Linked DNA regions of Macaca fascicularis. The protein of the gene in region 2 interacts with the protein of the main gene of each other region in a pairwise test. Links are inferred from orthologs where the notes say so. Each region holds a gene or a part of one and is shown on either strand. Other genes may lie near its edges.

Region 1 (6,124 bases), on a different chromosome or scaffold from region 2:
TGCCAAGCAGCAAGGAGGCAACCCAGGGGTCAAGTCTGGCCACATGGTCCGTGGTGACCACTGCAGCCCCAGCCCCAACAGCAGCGTAAGGAGCACACACTGGACAGTAGGACACTACAGTTCCCAGCTGGTGGCCAGAGAACAGCCAGCCAGGCCCAAGGGCCACTGTGGTGACATGGCCCAGCCCCACCACAGGGTTCCCTAGCACAGTCATGTCCCTTGTGGTGCTTGCCGCAGAGTGGTTCTGACCATCTCACCCATGCACTGCTGCCTGGTCACCACCAGCTACCCTCCCCACATCAGCCCAGCACTCCCTGCCCTTCCACTTTGGGTCCCCCAATACCTGCTCCATGCAGGCCAGGTTCCGGACCCTCTGTGACTCTCTGCCTCCGCCTCATGGCTCTCTTTCTCTGAGCTAGCCCTCACCACAAATGCACTCTTGTGGGCTGAACTGTGCCCGGACCCCAGTCCCTGCGCATGGGAGGTACTAGAAACAAGCTATTTGAAAATGAAACAAAGATGGGGTCTTGCTGGATTAACGCAGGCCCTAAAACCAATGACTAGAGTCCTTATAAAAACTGGGAAATTGAGGCCAGGCATGATGGCTCATGCCTGTAATCACAGCACTTTGGGAGGCCAAGGGGGGTGGGGGGGGGCGGATCACCTGAGGTCGGGAGTTCAAGACCAGCCTGGCCAACATGGAGAAACGCCGTCTGTACTAAAAACACAAAATTAGCTGGATATGGTGGCACGTGCCTGTAATTCCAGCTACTCAGGAGGCTGAGGCAGGAGAACTGTTTGAACGTGGGCGGGTGGGGGGGCGGAGGCTGTGAGCCCAAGATGGTGCCATTGCACTCTAGCCTGGGCAACAAGAGCGAAACTCCATTTCAAAAAAAAAAAAAAAAAAAAAAGATGATGATGAAATCAGAGACTGGCTGGATACACCTACAAGCTAGAGAACACCAAGGGCTGCCCACAGCCATCAGAAGCCAAGAGAAGAGCAGGGAACTGACCCCTGGACTTGGGACTTCTGGCCTCCAAAACTGTAAGGGAATAGATTTCTGTCGTTTGAAGCCACCTGGGTTGTGGTAATGTGTCAAGGAAGTCACAGGACACTGACGCATCTGCTTATTTCAAAACACTTCCACTGATGGAACCAGAGTCACAGATGCACCGGCACGTGCTCAGCACTAACTGTGCTCAGACACGACGAGAGGCTGGGGATCAGCAAAGAATTCATCAGTCACATGCTGAACTCAGGAGCCCAAGCAAGTGCTTCCTGGGCCACATGACGGCTGAGGGAGCATGAGACAGGGAACATTTGAGTGAGGCTTTGAAGGTTGAGTAGAAGTTGGCTTGGAAGATCCCCACCCACACACTATGTTGTTAAGGACAAGTTGTATTCTTCCTTCCCCTTCACTACCAAGCGGGTTTCAGAGGGGTCCCTGGCTTCTCTTAATGCTCTCGGCATGAGACTACTAGCACACACTGTGGACACAGCACACGTTTTAGGCATAGAACACGCACCTCTCACACCCTTCTCAGCCTTCTCACACCTCCCAGTAAAAGATCCCTGGGTAAATACATTCACTGTCAAAACACCAAGCCCAATATGCAGCCTGCTGGCCCTACCAGGCCAAGTCAGCAGCCTAAACTAAAGATCCATTTCCAATGGTCAGCAGGCTGAGTTTCTGCCCTGGGACACACAGTCCACAGGTGCATTTCTTCCTTTCTAATCTGATGTTTGGGGCAGCACCTCAATACACACTTTTACCTGGAGAATTTGGGGAGCTTCAATGGAAGTGTGTGCGCAGTGCAAATAACAGGACGAACGTTGAAGACAAAAGTAGCTTCAGGAACAATGACTGCTAAGGTCCAAAAAACCAGAGTGCCAGGAGATGCTCCGGGTTCCAACATTTGCCTCTGAGCCTAGAGCTTGACCTCCGCCTGGCCAAATGTTCCCAGATCAAGGGGTACCAACAGAGCAGACCCTGGAGTCACAGTCTGGGTTCAACACCTGGCTGTGCCACTTAGCAGCAAGGCACTCAGCACCCCAGGCTTCAGCGTCCACTTACCAGCAAGGCACAGCCTCCCTAGACCTCAGCGTCCTTAACTGTTAAACGGGATGCCAGTAGCTTCTATGAAGAATTGGATGAATTAAAATTTATAAAACCCTTAGAAGTGTCTGGGATACAGTAGGCACACATAAGTGTTTACTACGTAAATTAAAATGCCACACTTGTAAATCTGTGTTTCTGCTATTCTCAATCTCTCCTGTTCAGAGTTGGCCAAGGTTCTCATTTGTTAAGACCATCAAATTTCTAAAACTAGCAACAGCAAGGATAGTCTCAAAATAGGCGATAGATTTAGGACAACTTCCACAGGAGACTGGCATGTCATCAAGGAATAAGAGCCACAATCAAGGTCAAGGTGAACCCCCTTAGGGAGACACGCCGCTCCTGGGAACCTAGGAATACCACTGTTTATCCCTGCAATCCCACCAGGGTGAAGACGGAGTCGGAGTTGAGGAAAAAACGAATGTCACTCCAAAAGATGTTGCGACAACTGAAACGGGAATGGCTAATGCTGATTTTCTTCCGAATTTGTCTTCTACCGAAAAACAGCAGAAAATGCAAAGTCTCAATTTCAAAACTTAGGGCTTTGGATAACGGTATCCCAAACCCCTGTAAACGCTGTCTCTTGAAATCCACAAGGCCGAACTTACGGAGCTAGAGGAAAGGTTGTGGAGCAAATCCACCAAGTTTGTTAGGCGAGGCGGCGGGGGAGGGTGTCACGCTGAAATGCGGCGTGGCCGCGAGGATACGGGTGGGCGGTGCGCTTCTTACGGGGCCGAGCTGCCTAACGATGCCCTCCAAATGGGCATTGGGAGGCGTCCCTCTGTGCCTCCATCGTCCGCGCCTCGCTCCAGCGGCAGAAGGGGCAGCCCTGGCCGCGGGCCCCGCCATCTCCGTGCGCCCGGAGGCCGGCCCGCGCCCTTCTCCACTCGCCAAGCTGAGCGCAGAGAGCGAGTGTCGCCCGCCGCCCGCCTTCGCCACCGAGACTGGCTGCGGAGCGCGACGAGCCCTCGCCCCGGCCCCGAGGGGTCCCCGTGCGCCCGGCACGGCCCAGGACTGTTCCCAGCGCGCGCCGCGGACTCGGAGGACAGCGCGCTCGGGGGCCGGCACCCTCCAGCGTCCGCCCGGCCCCCAGCGCCCCGTGCCCCGGCCCGAGGGACCCGCCGCCCCAACAAAGTTGGCGCAGGCTCTCCGGGGAGCGCCCCCCACACGGCCCGGTGCCCGCTGGCGCGCAGGCGTGGAACGCGGGGACGGGCACCGGGCCGCCGTCCGGGTTCGCGGCCGCCCGGCTGCGCCCCGGCTTTGTTCGCGCCCTGCGCCCGCCAGCTGCCCGCGCCCCGGCCCCGCGAGCGCCCGCCCTCAGCCCCGCCGCCCGGCGCCGCCGCCCCGGCCCGGCCCACCTTCTGGATGGTTTGCTGCGTGACCTCCCCTTTGCCTCTTGGCCGGGCGGACGCGAAGGCCACGGACATGGTGGCTGCGCGGGACTCAGCCCGTGGTCATCGGGGTGGATACTCCGGCTGCGCTCGGCGGCCCGAGGCGCTCATTATCCGCAGTAGCGGCGGGGGGGCAGGGGGCGGGGGCGCGGGGGGCGCCGCGTCATGGGCTCGTCCGCCTCGTCGCCGTCGCCGAGCCTCCGGGCCCGCGGCGCCGCCGCTCCGCCCTGCAGAAGGGTCTGCGGCCCAGTGCCGAACGGTGGCCCCCGGCGGCCCCCTCGCACCCAGCGCCCGGCCCTCCGCCGGAGCACCGCCTCCCACCCCCGGCCACCGGTGGTTCGGCCTGGCCCCGCCCCGGCGCCCGCCCGCACGTCCGCCCGACGCCGCCTGACGCCGCCCGACGCCGCCTGACGCCGCCCGTCGCCGGCAGCGCAGGTCACGGCGCCGAGGGCGGGGCGCGGGCGCAGTGGCGCCGGGAGTCGCGGGTGCGCGCGGGCCGTGAGTGTGCGCTTTTGAGAGTCGCGGCGGAAGGAACTCGGCCGCCGCCCCGCCGGCATGAGCTACGACCGCGCCATCACCGTCTTTTCGCCCGACGGCCATCTCTTCCAAGTGGAGTACGCGCAGGAGGCCGTCAAGAAGGGCTCGACCGCGGTGAGCCGCCGGGGCCTGCGCGGGGCCGGGGACGCGGGCGGAAGTGGGGCTGGGGAGCCGAGAGAGGGTCGGGGTCGGGCGCGGAGCTGTGGGCGCACGCGGGCGTGCGCGGGGCAGCGGCGTGGGCAGTCGGGGCTGTAGCTGAGCGCGGGCCCCGCTGCCGGTCTCCACGAGTGCCTGCAGAGGCGGCGTTTGGCGTGAGCCGCGATGGCCCGTTCTCCCCACCCAGCGCCTCGCTTGGGGCCCGGCCTCGCGTGGGGCACCGGGCACGCGGGACCGTGGCGACGCCATCTTGGGCACCCCTGGCCCCGGCCGGGCGCGTGGGTCGCATCGCCGACCCGGTTTGCAGAGGCCGGGCGAGGGCCGCTGCAGGCCGCGGGGGATCGACTGTGCGCTCGCTGGGGGCTGTTCACGCAGCCGGGTGGCTGGGTAGCGAACTGCTCAGTCCCCCGTTACGGGGACCCCCACCCGCCCCAGGGCAACACTTGTTCTCTAGGCCCAGGTGGGCTTCGGGAACAAAGCAGCTCGCTGGTCTGGCCGGTGGCGGGCGCTTCCCGGGTCCCTGCACTCTGCCGGAAGGAGCCTTCCCGGGGCCGGGCTGCAGCCGCCCGGGTCAGGACTGGTCTGAACACGGCCGTTTCAATTTTGACGAGGGCTCGTGTACATTGACCTTAGTGACATTGTTTGAAACTTAAATTCGTAGCATCAAGACGTGTCAGTTTTGTTGGTCAGCCTGTGAGATCGTTATTCTTTTATCACCTGGTATTCAGAGGTTTGAGCAGGCAAAGAAAGCACACACGGTTCTCTAAATTTTGAATTGTTTTCATTTTCTGAATCTTTGTTTTGAAATGAAGGCCCAGTTATTCATCAGGTGATCTAAGTCAGCTTAAAGAGCACTAGGAGTCGGCTGACCCCTGCCTTCGACCCCAATACTCCCACCTCCGCCAGTTGGCTGCACCTGGCTTTAACAAATCCATGTAGCTTCTCTGGGCCTCGAGTCAGTTGAAGGTCAAGTGAGTCAGTACCTGAGAAAGCTCCCGGAAAACCCGAACACTTGAGACCAGAACTTCTCAGCCAGGGATGGTTTTGTGCCCACAGGGGCCACTGGCAGTGTGTGGCGACTTTTCTAGTGGTCTAAGACCTTGCAGAGGTGCTCCTGGCATTTAGAGGGTAGAGGCCAGGGACGCTGCTCAATATCCCACCCGTGCTTAGGGCGGCAGGAACAGTGAGATCAGCCTGCCCAGGTGCTCACAGTGCTAAGCGGGAGAAGCCCCTGCTCTAAACCAGGAGCCGCTGTTTATCCCAATGATGGTTCCCTTTGTTTCTGGCTTGACTCGGGGTTGACTGTCAGTGATTGTCGGTGCTTTTAGTAACAGCTACATCCTTCTCTAGTATCAGCCATAAACAATTTGGGATAACAGTTGACACCTTGTCCACTGGTGGCAAATCAGGCCCCTTCCCACGGCTGTCACATGAGTATGTCACAGTGCAGGAAACAGTGCATTGTGGCTCAATACAATTTCACAACTACAGAAACACTGCCTTCAGAACACCAGACTCGAGTGTGAAAGTCTGAGGCTTCCAGGCTTTGCATGGGACTGTTTGATTCATTGGGTTGAAAGGAAACACATGCCGATTATATAATGGTTACTTACTAGCTATGCTGTAACTAAAACTACATCTCAGCATTTGAAAGGCGCAGGTTGGGCACCTAGGTGAGCACGCCTGGGCTAGCTCTACCAGCAGTAGATGAATGCCCCTGGGTTTGCAGGATGTGGTGCCAACCACAGTGACAGACAAGTGGAGGAGGAAGGGGTGTGGGTGCACACACCTTCCAGTGGGAGCTGCTACCCAGAGTACGTATCCCCCAGGACCGAGGTTCAAATCTGCTCCTAGTGCTTGCTGCCTGGCAGTAGAACCATGTGTCACTTTTTTTCAGAGGGTGGGGTGGGGTGAGGGGACAGG
Region 2 (5,909 bases):
ATTCTTACACATTTTCTAATTTATAATACACTCCTTTTAGTTTTTTGTGTTTGGATCTTCCAGAAGCAGGTGCCAAGAGGTGCAAGAGATTTATTTGGAGTGAAATACCTAGAAAGATAAAGAAGGGAGCAGAAGGTGGGGAATTCTTCATACCACTCTGAAAGTCTGACACCTGGAAGGAAGGATTGGGTAGGGGAGCTTTGGACTTCAGTGCACCTTCAAACTGCTAGATGAGGACTTAGTTCCCAAGCAAAGGTTCCCTGTAGACAAGTCCACAGGGACAGGAATGGCCTAGATCTAGACCCCTCCAATGTGCTCAGCTACTGGCTGATTGCAGGCAAGGAAAAGTTGGAGGCTATCCATTACTGGTACAGTGCCAGGACTAGGGTATGGTGAGGCACTTGGGCACAAATATTTGACTAATAGACTAAGGAAGACAATGTTTTGGTGCAATATTGTAAAATCAGAATTGATGCCAAAAAAAGCCTATGATGAGCAAGATACCAAATTTCAAATCAAACATGACTGGATTGCTGATTTCTTGTTGCTTCAGGCTTCACCATGGCTCCACAAAGCACTGCTTATTCACTGTCTCCAGTGAGGACAGGCTAGGTCCACACTAGTCGTGTAATTTTCCATAGGCCTGTGTGCCCTTATCCAAAAATAAGACTCTGGGCTTAGATATTTTAAGTTCCTCTGTTGCCCCTTTTTCAGTGTGAGAATTGTGTTTGCTGTGGAATACATCCAGGGATGTCTTCCTTTAAATAAGTTCACAGTTTTAAATGGCCACCCCCTGACTCACTAATGCCTTACACAAAGCAAGATGCAAGTGCACCACATGCTTTTAGGATATTTTTATATGTTAAAAAAATGTATATTGGCCGGGCGCAGTGGCTCACGTCTGTAATCCCAGCACTTTGGGAGGCCGAGGCAGGCGGATCACAAGGTCAAGAGATCGAGACCATCCTGGCCAACATGGTGAAACCTCGTCTCTAAATTAGCTGGGCAACGTAGAGCGCGCCTGTAGTCCCAGCTACTTGGGAGGCTGAGGCAGGAGAATCGTTTGAACCCGGGAAGCGGAGGTTGCAGTGAGCTGAGATAGCGCCGCGCCACTGCACTCCAGCCTGGCAACAGAGCGAGACTCCGTCTAAAAAAATACATATATTGCATATATGTGTCTATTTTGCACACCATATAATTGTCACGACATCTTTATTGCTAGTTAGTAGGTTCCTTGACTGGGGTCATGTCATCTGTGCCTGACACAGGAGGTAATGTTTATTCAGAAATGAAGATCGCGGCTGGGCGCGGTGGCTCACGCCTGTAATACCAGCACTTTGGGAGGCCGAAGAGGGCGGATCGCTTGAGACTAGCAAGGTGAGACCCCATCTCTACTAAAAACACAAAAATCAGCGGGTGTGGTGACACACGCCTGTAGTCCCAGCTACTAGGAGGCTAAGATGGGAGGATAGCTTGAGACCACCAGGCAGAGGTTGCAGTGAGCCGAGATCGCGCCACTGCATTCCAGTCTGGGTGACAGATGCCTCGTCTCAAAAACCACAAAAAAGAACATAGGAGAAGAGGCATTGATGAGGAAAACTCAGCAAAGACAGCAAATATCAATTTGTTAAGCTATTTGCAAAGGTTTTCTCTTTCCTGTATTAATCTTTTCCCTCTCCCCACTTTTGGCCCGAGGATCTGAATCGTTCGGTCAGGCAGAAATCAGACCGCGTCCATACCCAGCCTCCTTCGAGGCCTAGCTGTAAAAACCGCTGAGCAAAGGGAATCCAGAATCAGCCCTCAAGCAACTCAAGACAAGTTAGCAATTTCCGCCGGTATGCCGTGAACACCGGCGACCACTGGCGTTTCCTCTGAGTCCTCGGAACTCCGGAAACTCTGGGAGCTTTCAGCCCGCCCATCAGGGGAAAGCGGCCCGGGGCCGGCGCCAGGTGGAGCCCATCCCCCTGCGTCTGGCGGGCCGCAGTACCGCCAGGGGCCTGCGGGAGGCGCACGCGGCGCGGCCTGAGGGGAGGGGGAGAGCGGGCGGAGGCGGTGCGCTCGGCGCTTCCTGTTCCGGCGCCAGGAGGAGCCGCGCGCTGCTGGTGCTGTTGCCGCCGCTGCTTTCCCTGCCGTCAGTCAGGCTGCGCCCGCTTCTTCAGGGCCCAGTCCCTCGGACCCATCGCCGCTTCTAGACCCTACTGCGGTCTCGGATATTGCCGGGTGAGGCTGCTTCGGTACTAGTGGGAGTCGTGAAGGGGAATCGGGGGGCTGGGGTTGCGGAGCCCGCGGGCGCGGCCAAGCGGGAAGCGGGCGCGGTAACTGAGGTGCATCGAGTCACGTCCAGTGCTCGGGCCGTGGTCGCCTGCCTGGGACCGGGGCTAAGCGTTTCTCTCGGTCGCCTTCCTCCACGCTGCGGGCTGCCTGGGGATCGCCCCCCAGGGAGAAGGTGTAGGAGGCCGCTGACGTCGCGCCCGACGGGTTTCTGGGCGCCTGACGTCAGGCCTGGCTGCGGGGCGGGGCGGGCGCGGGCCGGCCCCTCCCCCACCCTTTCCCGGCGGGCGCGACCCGCTCGGAGGCCGGTTCGCTCCGGTTGATCCCGGACTCCCTTTGTTCGTGCGTCCCTAAAAGGCTGCCGGCCTCGCGCCTTTTGGCCCCGATTTCCCCTCTACCCCCACCCCATTGCACCCATTCATTAATTTCTAATAAAAAGGGAAAAGCCTGAAAAGATTATTACAGGAATCTCGGGCGCTTGTTAATCCGCAGTGTGACAACGCTCTGGTTATGACTCACTAGAGGAATTGCCCACGGATACGTTAGATGAATACCCAGGGCAAACCACGAGAAGGGCAGAATTTAGGGATCTCCTTTTTAGGACTGAAGAGCGCATACCTACGATAGCTTATATATAGGGGGACCGTTTTCCTCTTTACCTTGAAAAGCAAGAGTACAGCTTTTAATAGGTAAAGATTGCAGTGTTAAAGCATGAAGCCGGACTCGCTCGACCGAAAAATTTTTTTTTAGTTTTACTGCTAGAGAAATACACACCTGGGGGTTGTAAAGGTCTGTTTTGAAAAGGAACCCTCATTACAGGCAAAGGTAGCCTTCAGAAACATTTTGTAAGTTCTTTGTTCACTGGTGTTCTTTGAGGGAAGAATAGAAATTTTTCATGCTGGCATCTCTGAGCCCACAATGCAAAGCGAGTTTGCTTCAGAAACTTGGAGTGAATTGCAAATATTGGAATGTTCTTTTCCTCTCTCCAGGAGGAATGGGTAATATCCATCCCCAGTCTCTTAGCTGAAACTTTTGAAGCTAGTGTGTTTTGAATTCAAAAATACTTGGATTTTATCTTCATCTTTTTAGAAAGACGACATGTTAGACGAGAGATAACACCCCCAGCAGAATGGGGCACCGCATCATCCAACATTAATATTTGCAGCAATAGATGTGAGCATTCATTCTAAGTGGGGGCGAATAGAAACTATAAATAGCTTCAGGTCACATTTTGCCACCATGTAAGATTTGTGCCAAACTTGGGAAAGTTTATTTTTTCGGAAGTCTCTGGATTGAGAAGGGCAGATAAAGATTTATGGACCTAAAAGTAGGCATCGTAAAAGCTAATATTTGTTGAGGTTTTGCTATATTCCAGGCAGTGACTAAGAGATTTGTTTATTATATAAGTCTTAGAGCAAATCTATGATGTGCATACGATTCTGATCTCCCTTTGCCTCGAGTTTGGAGAATTGGACTTGTCAACTCTGGCCAGTCCAACCAGTGAAGAGCTGCAGTTGTAGCTGGATGGTCATACTTTAGCGTTTACTCTTTTACCTATAAGCTAGATGTCCACATACAAGGGAAAGAGAATTTGGTACCTGTTTTCCACCCAAGCACTATTTTAGGCACTTGATTGGACAGAGTCCAATTTAGTTCATCGCAGCATTACTGGTCTGGTTGTTTTTTGTTTTTTGTTTTTAACTGCGTGCTTTTTACAAACAGTATGGCCTGTTCTTTATAGTTCAGGTTCATTCAGATGAGCCGACTCTTACTGAAATAATTCAAACCCTCGTCTAAGGTCTCTCTGCTAAGACTTTCCCCTTCCCTTGCTATATTCTAACCCATCTGAACTGCTTATACCTCCTCACAGATTCTCCCAATTTTTACACCAACTGCTCTTCTTTCCCTAGGACCCATGTCACCGCCCTCTACTCCCAGCTCTTTCTTTATGGTCCTTATGGACTGCAAAAGACAGCACATCTCAGGAATCTCCATGTAATACTAAAATTTCTCTAAAGCCCAACACATTGTTTGGCACATATGTTCCAATAAATATATAACTAAATGCCAAGAAATATTGCAGGTTGCATATCCCTTATCCCAAATGCTTGGAACCAGAAGTGTTTCAGATTTTGGATTTTTTTTTTTATATTACACCAGTTGAGCATCCGAAATCCAGAATGCTCTAATGAGCATTTTCTTTGAGCGGCATGTTGGCACTCAAAAAGTTTCAGATTTTTGAGCATTTCAAAACCCCCGTTTTTGAGTTGCCCAAATGTAAAAAATGGAACATAATCAGATAAATGAGCCAATGCTGAAAACTAGCATGTATTCTAATTTATAACTTTTTATTTTTGGAGACAGTCACTCACTGCAAGTTCCGCCTCCTGGGTTCAAGCGATTCTCCTGCCTCAGCCTACCGAAGTAGCTGGGATTACAGGTGTCTGCCACCGTGCCCAGCTAATTTTTTGTATTTTTGGTTGAGATGGGGTTTCACCATGTTGGCAAGGCTGGTCTTGAACTCCTGATCTCACGTGATCCACCCCCCTGGGCCTCCCAAAGTGCCGGGATTACAGGCTTGAGACACTGTGCCCAGCCATTAATTTATATTTTCAGTATGATACATATCATCCCCTGCATACTAAACAAATCAACCCCAAAATTTTGATTTTATTTAATTTTGCCTAATAAATATCTAACATGTATATAGCACTTTATAGATTAAGTGTGTTACTATTTTCTGTGCAGTGGGTAGGAGCTATAACTTCTACAGATGGAAAATGGTCTCATTGAGAAGTTTATTTTTGTCAAAAGATACCGTCAAAAAGGATTGATGTCTGGGTTTCATCACTGTGTAGTCCCATACTGTTTATTACTCCGTCACAATTTGAAGGCTCTGTGAAATATCCATGAACTCCACTAGTAATTCATGGAGTTCAACTCTCTTAACCACCCTCCTCCCTGACCCATGATTGAATTGTCATTTTTACCCTAACAGCCATGAGAGTTTCCAAAATGTTATGTTTTACTTTTCTAGTGTATGTCAAAAGAAATTTTGTACTGTTTTAAAATTACTATTCTTGCTGCTCAGAGAATAAAAATTATTATTTTTCAGACGATGGGTGGATCGGACGATGCTATAAAATGGTAACAAAGTTTTGGAAATAATCGCTTTAGATTATTCCAAAAAGGAAAAAAAAATGAAAGCCTTTCTTAAGTATACATTTTTTTTATGAGTTCAAGGTTACATTGGCCTCATCTTAATAATCAGCAGTGAATCAGATATTTTGGAATAGCTTTATATTTTTATTTATTTTTCTTTTTGAGACAGAGTCTCACTATATTGCCCAGGCTGGTCTTTAACTACTGGCCTCAAGCGGTCTTCCCACCTCAGCCTCCTGAGAAGCTGGGATTACAGGTGCACACGACTAAGCGCGGCTTAGAATAGCTTTTTAGAAAACCTAAACTTTTTACGTTCTGCAACTTTCCTCATACTGAAACGTTCATGTCCAACTCTGTTTTTCACCTTTTCTAATGAAAGTATTCTCCAAAGAGCAAATTGGAATGCTTCCAATTACAGTTGTTCCCCCTTATCCTAGGGGGACACATTGCAAGACTCCCCAATGAATCCCTGAAAC
Region 3 (6,001 bases), on a different chromosome or scaffold from region 2:
ATTATGTTTTCTGTATTCCCAGAGCCTACAACAGTGCCTGGCAGACAATAGTCATCCTATAGCTGTTAAATAAAGGGAAAAATAACTACTGGCTTTAAAACTCTATTATCCTATAAACTGTAAATGCTAACTCTGAAGACAGAGTTATGTGTGAATACTCAAATAGAGCCTCAAGTTTTTCTAAGAAAGATCTCATGAGTATGTCTTTAATTTCCTCTCTACGTGGGGGAACTGAAGGAGAAAGGACAAATTAGTAACACCCATCTGAACTGTTTAAAGACTGTCCACTACTGTGCTGCATACTCCCTAACTCTCCCACCTGGGTGGGTGTGTATGAATGGACTGTATACTTTATTAAATAAGACAGTGTCAAACAACTAGCCACTAAACACTAATTCGTTACAGAATTTTCCCTTAGGTTTTATTTTAATCTTTGATTTTATTCAGTATGACTATCCTGTAATGACTGTATTTTTATTTATTTATTTCTTTTTTTTGAGATGGAGTCTCACTCTGTCACCAGATTGGAGTGCAGTGGCACACTATTAGCTCACTGCAGCTTCCGCCTCCTGGGCTGAAGGGATTCTCGTGTCTCAGCCTCCTGAGTGGCTGGGACTACAGGCATGTGCCACCACGCCCAGCTAATTTTTGTTTTTTTCAGTAGAGATGGGGTTGCACCATGTTGGTCAGGCTGCTCTCGAACTCTTGACCTCAAGAGATCCACACACCTTGGCCTCCCAAAGTGCTGGGATTACAGGCATTAGCCACCAAGTCCAGCCATGACTGTGTAATTTTAAATTCAAAATAATGTTGAAGGTCTCTAGCAAGTTAAATAGTTGCTAGATAATAAGGGAGGATTTACTTATCAAATAATGGGTTAATATCTCTTCTTCTCAAGGCCAAGATGTTCCTGAATGTTATCTATAAACGCTGAACATTTCCTAAGCATCAACTCCTTCCTCCTCCTGCCCCAAGAAAATGATCTGAGACATTTAAAGGTGTCCAAAAACTCCTACTGGCCACATTCTAGTTTCAACTTCCCGCCTTACTACTAGCAGCTTTCTGCTTCCTCTTCTTAAATCTGTTATTTCATTAACACCACACTTCTCTGCAATTATTGTTTATTCTTTCGGGGTATGTGAAAGCACTCACCTACTCCCCCAGCATATCAACCCTTCAAGTACTTGAAAAAAGTTTCCATGAATCCTATTATATGAATATTATATATTAATGCTCTACTATTCTTCATATAAATACCCTTCGTCCTTTCACCTAACTAGTCCTTAAATTAGTATCTCTAGACCCCTCACCATGCTCTGAACAGATATTTTATTAATAAATCTTCAATGAAATGGGTCATTAAAACTAAATATAACACTTTAAGGTCAATGCAGAATAGAGTGAACTGCATTCCACTCTAGAGATGCCATGCTTATCTTAACGCAAAGAAAGAATACAGTTAGTTTTTTATCTGCCAGTTCTTACAATGGACTTCTCATGAAGACAGTGATTAACAGAAATCTCCATACAACCAACTCTTCGCCTTCTGCAATGCCTTCTGCAATGCCTTCTGCATTCAGGAATTACTTCTAAATACCTACTATGTGCCAAGCTCTAAAGTATAATTATTTCACCAAGATGGTAAATATTCCATCTTGTTTGCTTTGCAGCCTAAGAGTAATAAAGATCTTTCAAAAAATCAATGTATTTGTTACCTTCTCCTTTCTACAAGAAGTGTAAACCAGGAATAATGTAAAAGGACCCAGTGCTTAGCTTCAGTAAGCTGGTATTATCTATTCCCAGCAGCACCTAGAAAAGTGCCTGACATATAGTATTTAAAGACTTTAAATTTTTTGAAGTATGGGAGAAGAAAGCTGTCATACAGATCAGTTTTTACATCCGATCCTCACACTATACCTTCTTTATGGAGCTAGAAGTGACTTCCGTCAGACACATGCCTAATTAAGAAAAAATTCCAGCTTTGAATATAATTGATGGTATGTCCTTCTGACTGGGGTACGGGTTTGTTGCCCAATTTCAATGGATTTAAAGTTTGAAGGCCGGGCGCGGTGGCTCACACCTGTAATCCCAGCACTTTGGGAGGCCGAGGCGGGCGGATCACAAGGTCAGGAGTTCAAGACCAGACGATCAACATGGTGAAACTCCGTCTCTACTAAAAAGACAAAAATTAGCCAGGCGTGGTGGTGTGCGCCTGTAATTCCAGATACTCAGGAGGCTGAGGAAGGAGAATCGCTCGAAACCGGGAGGCGGAGGTTGCAGTGAGCCGGGGGAATCACGCCACTGCACACCAACCTGAGACTCCGTCTCAAAAAAAAAAAAAAATTGAGTCAGGTATGCTTTCTATCTTCCATGTGTTTGCATGCAAATTCACTTTTTGTGTTTCCCACTGACTGTAAATATCTTGTGGCCAGGAACCAGTGCTTCTTTCCTAAAGCTGTTGTTAGCTCGTGCAGTCATCTCCCCAGAGTAAACACAAAAGTATCTCAAAAGTAAGTGTGCAACAAAAGTTTCCTCTCAAGGGGAAATCCCATCCCAACATTACTTCATATACAGAATTCTGGTACTCGTTTTCTCTTCCAAAGTAGAGACTGGTATTAACAACTAGCTCCTAGAACTGCCAGTAGGAGCCCTACAACAAGCTCTTCTCCCATCTTGTCCCTGCCCCGGCCCCTCTGAAGTCCAGAAATGTCTCGGCCTCTAACTTGTATAATATAACCCTCCAACAGGAACGCTTTTCTCAGCACTGGGAATAATCTGACATGCTCAAGGTCATATAAAAAGCCTTCCTCCTGAACCAGGACCTAGGTTCAGTGGCCATACTTCTGGTTCTGCTATCTGTAAGGGTAAGACCCTGCTCAATTTCAGAGGCTGTGGCTTAGGCACCTCCTGAGGGGAGCAGTTTCCTTCAAGAAATACTAAGTCAAGTCAACCTGTAATTATTCTAAACAAGGCAACAGGCCTCAAACCCTGCCTCAGAGGCAGTGTAGCAAGACGGTCAAGATTCCCACTACCAGCGATGTGATCTTAAGTCCTCGAAGGCTCACTTTCAACATATTCCAAATGAAAATAACAATATCTGAATTTGGAGGCATCCTTGTGATGATTAAATGAGACACTGCATCTCAAATACTTACTTTAGTGTCCAGCAAAGCAAACTCTTAAAATTAGCTAGAATCATCACTATAAAACCAGGTTGGGCCTCCAGCTGGCGCTTAAGCGTTGACTTAGCCAAGGAACCAGGCTCCAATTCAGTGACCCCAATCAACTTATTCCCGTAGGCGCCACTCCGCACCCTTCCGAGCGCCTTCGGGTGCTGGGCGCCGGCCAACCCAGACCTCCCAAAGGCCCTCTCCTCTCAATCCAAAACCTTTGAGGCAGGCTGCACCAAGGAATTAACTGGCCCACTCGCCTCCCGGAGCCCCCGAGGCGCGCCTCCTGGCCAGCGCGGCCAGGGGTTGCCTCTCTGCCCTCCCCCTCCGCGACCTCCTTTCCCTTCCCCCTATGCAAAGCCCCGCCCTTCCTGCCTCCGGCTCCGTCCTCCCCCCGCCCCCTCCTCCCTCCAGCCCCTTCCCCAGCGCCTCCGACCCCAGTCGCCGGGCGGTTCGAGCGAGGCCTTCACAGCGCCTCCTCGTCTCCCGGCCTCCTCGGAGAGAGCGGCCGCAACCCCCGTCTCCAGTGGCCATACCGGCTTGCGGAGGCCGCGCCGCCGCCTCGCCGCAGGTCTCAGCTGAATGGGCCGACGCGAGGCCACTGGACTGGGGCGTCGCGGGGAGGCGGTGGTCACTGCCCGCTCCGTTGCCCTCCGCGACCGCCGCACCTCGCTCGCAGGCTCGCGCGGGCCTCGGCCAATCGCGTTGACCCAACAAGCCTAGCGAGAACTCGGGCTCTGTACGTGGCAGGTGGGGGAAGAAGAGAGGCGGGAGCAAGAAAAAAAAAAAAAAGCCCTTTCGCCCCTCCTTACTGCGCGTGGACACACCAGGACGCATGCGCCAGGCTCAGGGCTGGCTGGGTCCCGGCTGCCTCGGTCCCGGCTGCCTCTACCGAAGACTCCCTGCTTTCTCGCTGGATGATGGGCTGTAGGAAGCGTGAGCTGCGCCGATTCACGCATGCGCGGGGCGTGACCAGGCACTTCCGGTTTTCTGGAAAGCATGTATTTCCGTTTCTCGCCAATGGGCGGGGCGTAGTGCGCTGTTCTAGACTTTTTGAGAGCCGGTTGCAGGTCTGTCCAACTTTAAGTGGTTTTTGTCGTTGTTGTTGACCATTGTAGTAACAGATGAAATAAAAACCTTTTCTTCCACAAATCCATTCATTCATTACTGGGAGCCTACGCTTTGCCAAGCCCCGTTCTAGGAATGGGGGTGAATCATTTTGTGAGCAAGGAGTTTCCAATTCAGCAGGGAAGACCGACAGCGTTTATAAGCCAAGACAAATATGTGACTGTGTAAAGGACAAAAGCTGGGAAATTAAGGCTAATGATTCCTGAGTGATTTTTGGAGGATAAGGCATTTGAGTGTGCACTACGTACTCTTCCCTTCTCCTTTACCTGTTCAAATAGAAATACAGTATAAGTGGGAATTTATAGCCAAGGGGTGGGAGTCGGTCAGTGGATGGAAAATTACTAAGAGGAAATGTCAGGGACAAGGGAGATTCTGGCTAAACCAACACAACAGGATTCTAGATGAAGACAGGCCAGGATAACAGACATCACCTGGGGGTGGTGGAGGATGAGGAACCTGATCAAGGGTGAGGGATTCTTACTATACTGACTTAACAAGGTTCTTTGCTGAAACTGAGTTTTACAAGAAGATGCACAGATGGGCCTAGGAGAAGGCTCAGGAGCCTGAAGTTTGGCCAAGCAGAGAATCTTTGTCACTTCGAAGGTGGAGACTAAGCCGATAAATAAAGCATTTATACCCTACCTGGTCTCCAGTTGTTTACCAGTTATAAGAGAAAAACTTAAGCTGAATTAAATTTAAAGGAGTTTAATTGAGCAACGAATGATTTCACAAACTGGGCAGCCCCCAGAATCACAGCAGATTCAGAGACTCCAGCACAGCCATGTGGTGGAAGATTTTAGACAGAAAAAGGGAAATGAGGTACAGAAATCGGGAGTCAAGTACAGAAACAGCTGGATTGGTTACAGGTTGGCGTTTGCCTTATTTGAACACTTAGCAGTCTATGAGTGGTTGAGGGTGGTGGCTGGAATTGGCCAAGACTAGGTTATTGTTACAGATGCATACTCCTAAGTTAGGTTTTCATTCTTGTCTATTAAGCTAGGTTACAGTTCATCCACAAGGATTCAAATATAAAAGTATGGAGTCCTTCTCAGGCCATACTTAGTTTGCTTTAACACCCGATACTCGTAAAGGACCTGGGGTAAATTCAAGTGTTTCAGGGTGAGAAGCTATGTTCTTTTACTACTATGAGTAGTGTGATATTTTTCAGTTATAAGTCTCTGAAACTTCTGTTTGAGAGTGAAATAATGTAAGTTTAGACTGTTCACTTCTGATTTGTATTTGCCAACAGTTGTATTGCCCTTTGAACAATTGTTTGCAGGGATAAGGTTGTGGAGTACTGCAGAAGAAATGAAAAACAGTTCCTGATTGCTCTCCAAAGAAGTTATTCATTGCTTATTTTTTAAAATGGAATAATACAGATTTAAGGAGATGCACTGCTGTCAGATAATAGTATTATGATGTCATTAAAATGGTTTGGGATGGGGTAAAACCACAACCATGTGGCAAAGGTAAAATATTCCCTGAAGGAAGTAAATTATACTACTGTTATAGTAGTATATTTAAACTAAAAAGAGGTCAGATCCTGAGGCAGGAGATAAGGAGATGAACCTTGGCCTATTATAAGGTGAAAAGAATATCTGCTGAGGATCCCCAGTGAGGGGGCACTCAAGAGTCCTGCTACTGAGGAGAAATAAACTGGTGCCTGTTACACTGTGGTCATCCGTATGCTAGGAAGAGAGGCA

What was found.
Region 1: the proteins of MAPK1IP1L (region 2) and SS18L1 interact in binary tests that used the Homo sapiens proteins (3 or more experiments, as listed by UniProt). The two-hybrid records come from large-scale screens. The link is inferred for Macaca fascicularis from reciprocal best matches to the Homo sapiens genes MAPK1IP1L and SS18L1.
Region 3: the proteins of MAPK1IP1L (region 2) and TFG interact in binary tests that used the Homo sapiens proteins (3 or more experiments, as listed by UniProt). The two-hybrid records come from large-scale screens. The link is inferred for Macaca fascicularis from reciprocal best matches to the Homo sapiens genes MAPK1IP1L and TFG.

What each region holds. Positions count from the first base shown.
Region 1 is NC_088384.1:118,188,196-118,194,319, reverse strand, and holds the start of SS18L1 (calcium-responsive transactivator), read right to left. Parts: upstream 3,865-6,124; 5' UTR 3,545-3,864; coding exon 3,476-3,544; intron 1-3,475. Other genes in the region: PSMA7 (proteasome subunit alpha type-7), read left to right, coding at 4,064-4,159. UniProt on the Homo sapiens protein: Transcriptional activator which is required for calcium-dependent dendritic growth and branching in cortical neurons. Recruits CREB-binding protein (CREBBP) to nuclear bodies.
Region 2 is NC_088381.1:122,906,081-122,911,989, forward strand, and holds the start of MAPK1IP1L (MAPK-interacting and spindle-stabilizing protein-like), read left to right. Parts: upstream 1-2,063; 5' UTR 2,064-2,220; intron 2,221-5,909.
Region 3 is NC_088376.1:182,334,014-182,340,014, forward strand, and holds the start of TFG (protein TFG), read right to left. Parts: upstream 4,126-6,001; 5' UTR 3,983-4,125; intron 3,865-3,982; exon of another isoform or gene 3,707-3,864; intron 3,374-3,706; exon of another isoform or gene 3,156-3,373; intron 1-3,155. UniProt on the Homo sapiens protein: Plays a role in the normal dynamic function of the endoplasmic reticulum (ER) and its associated microtubules. Required for secretory cargo traffic from the endoplasmic reticulum to the Golgi apparatus.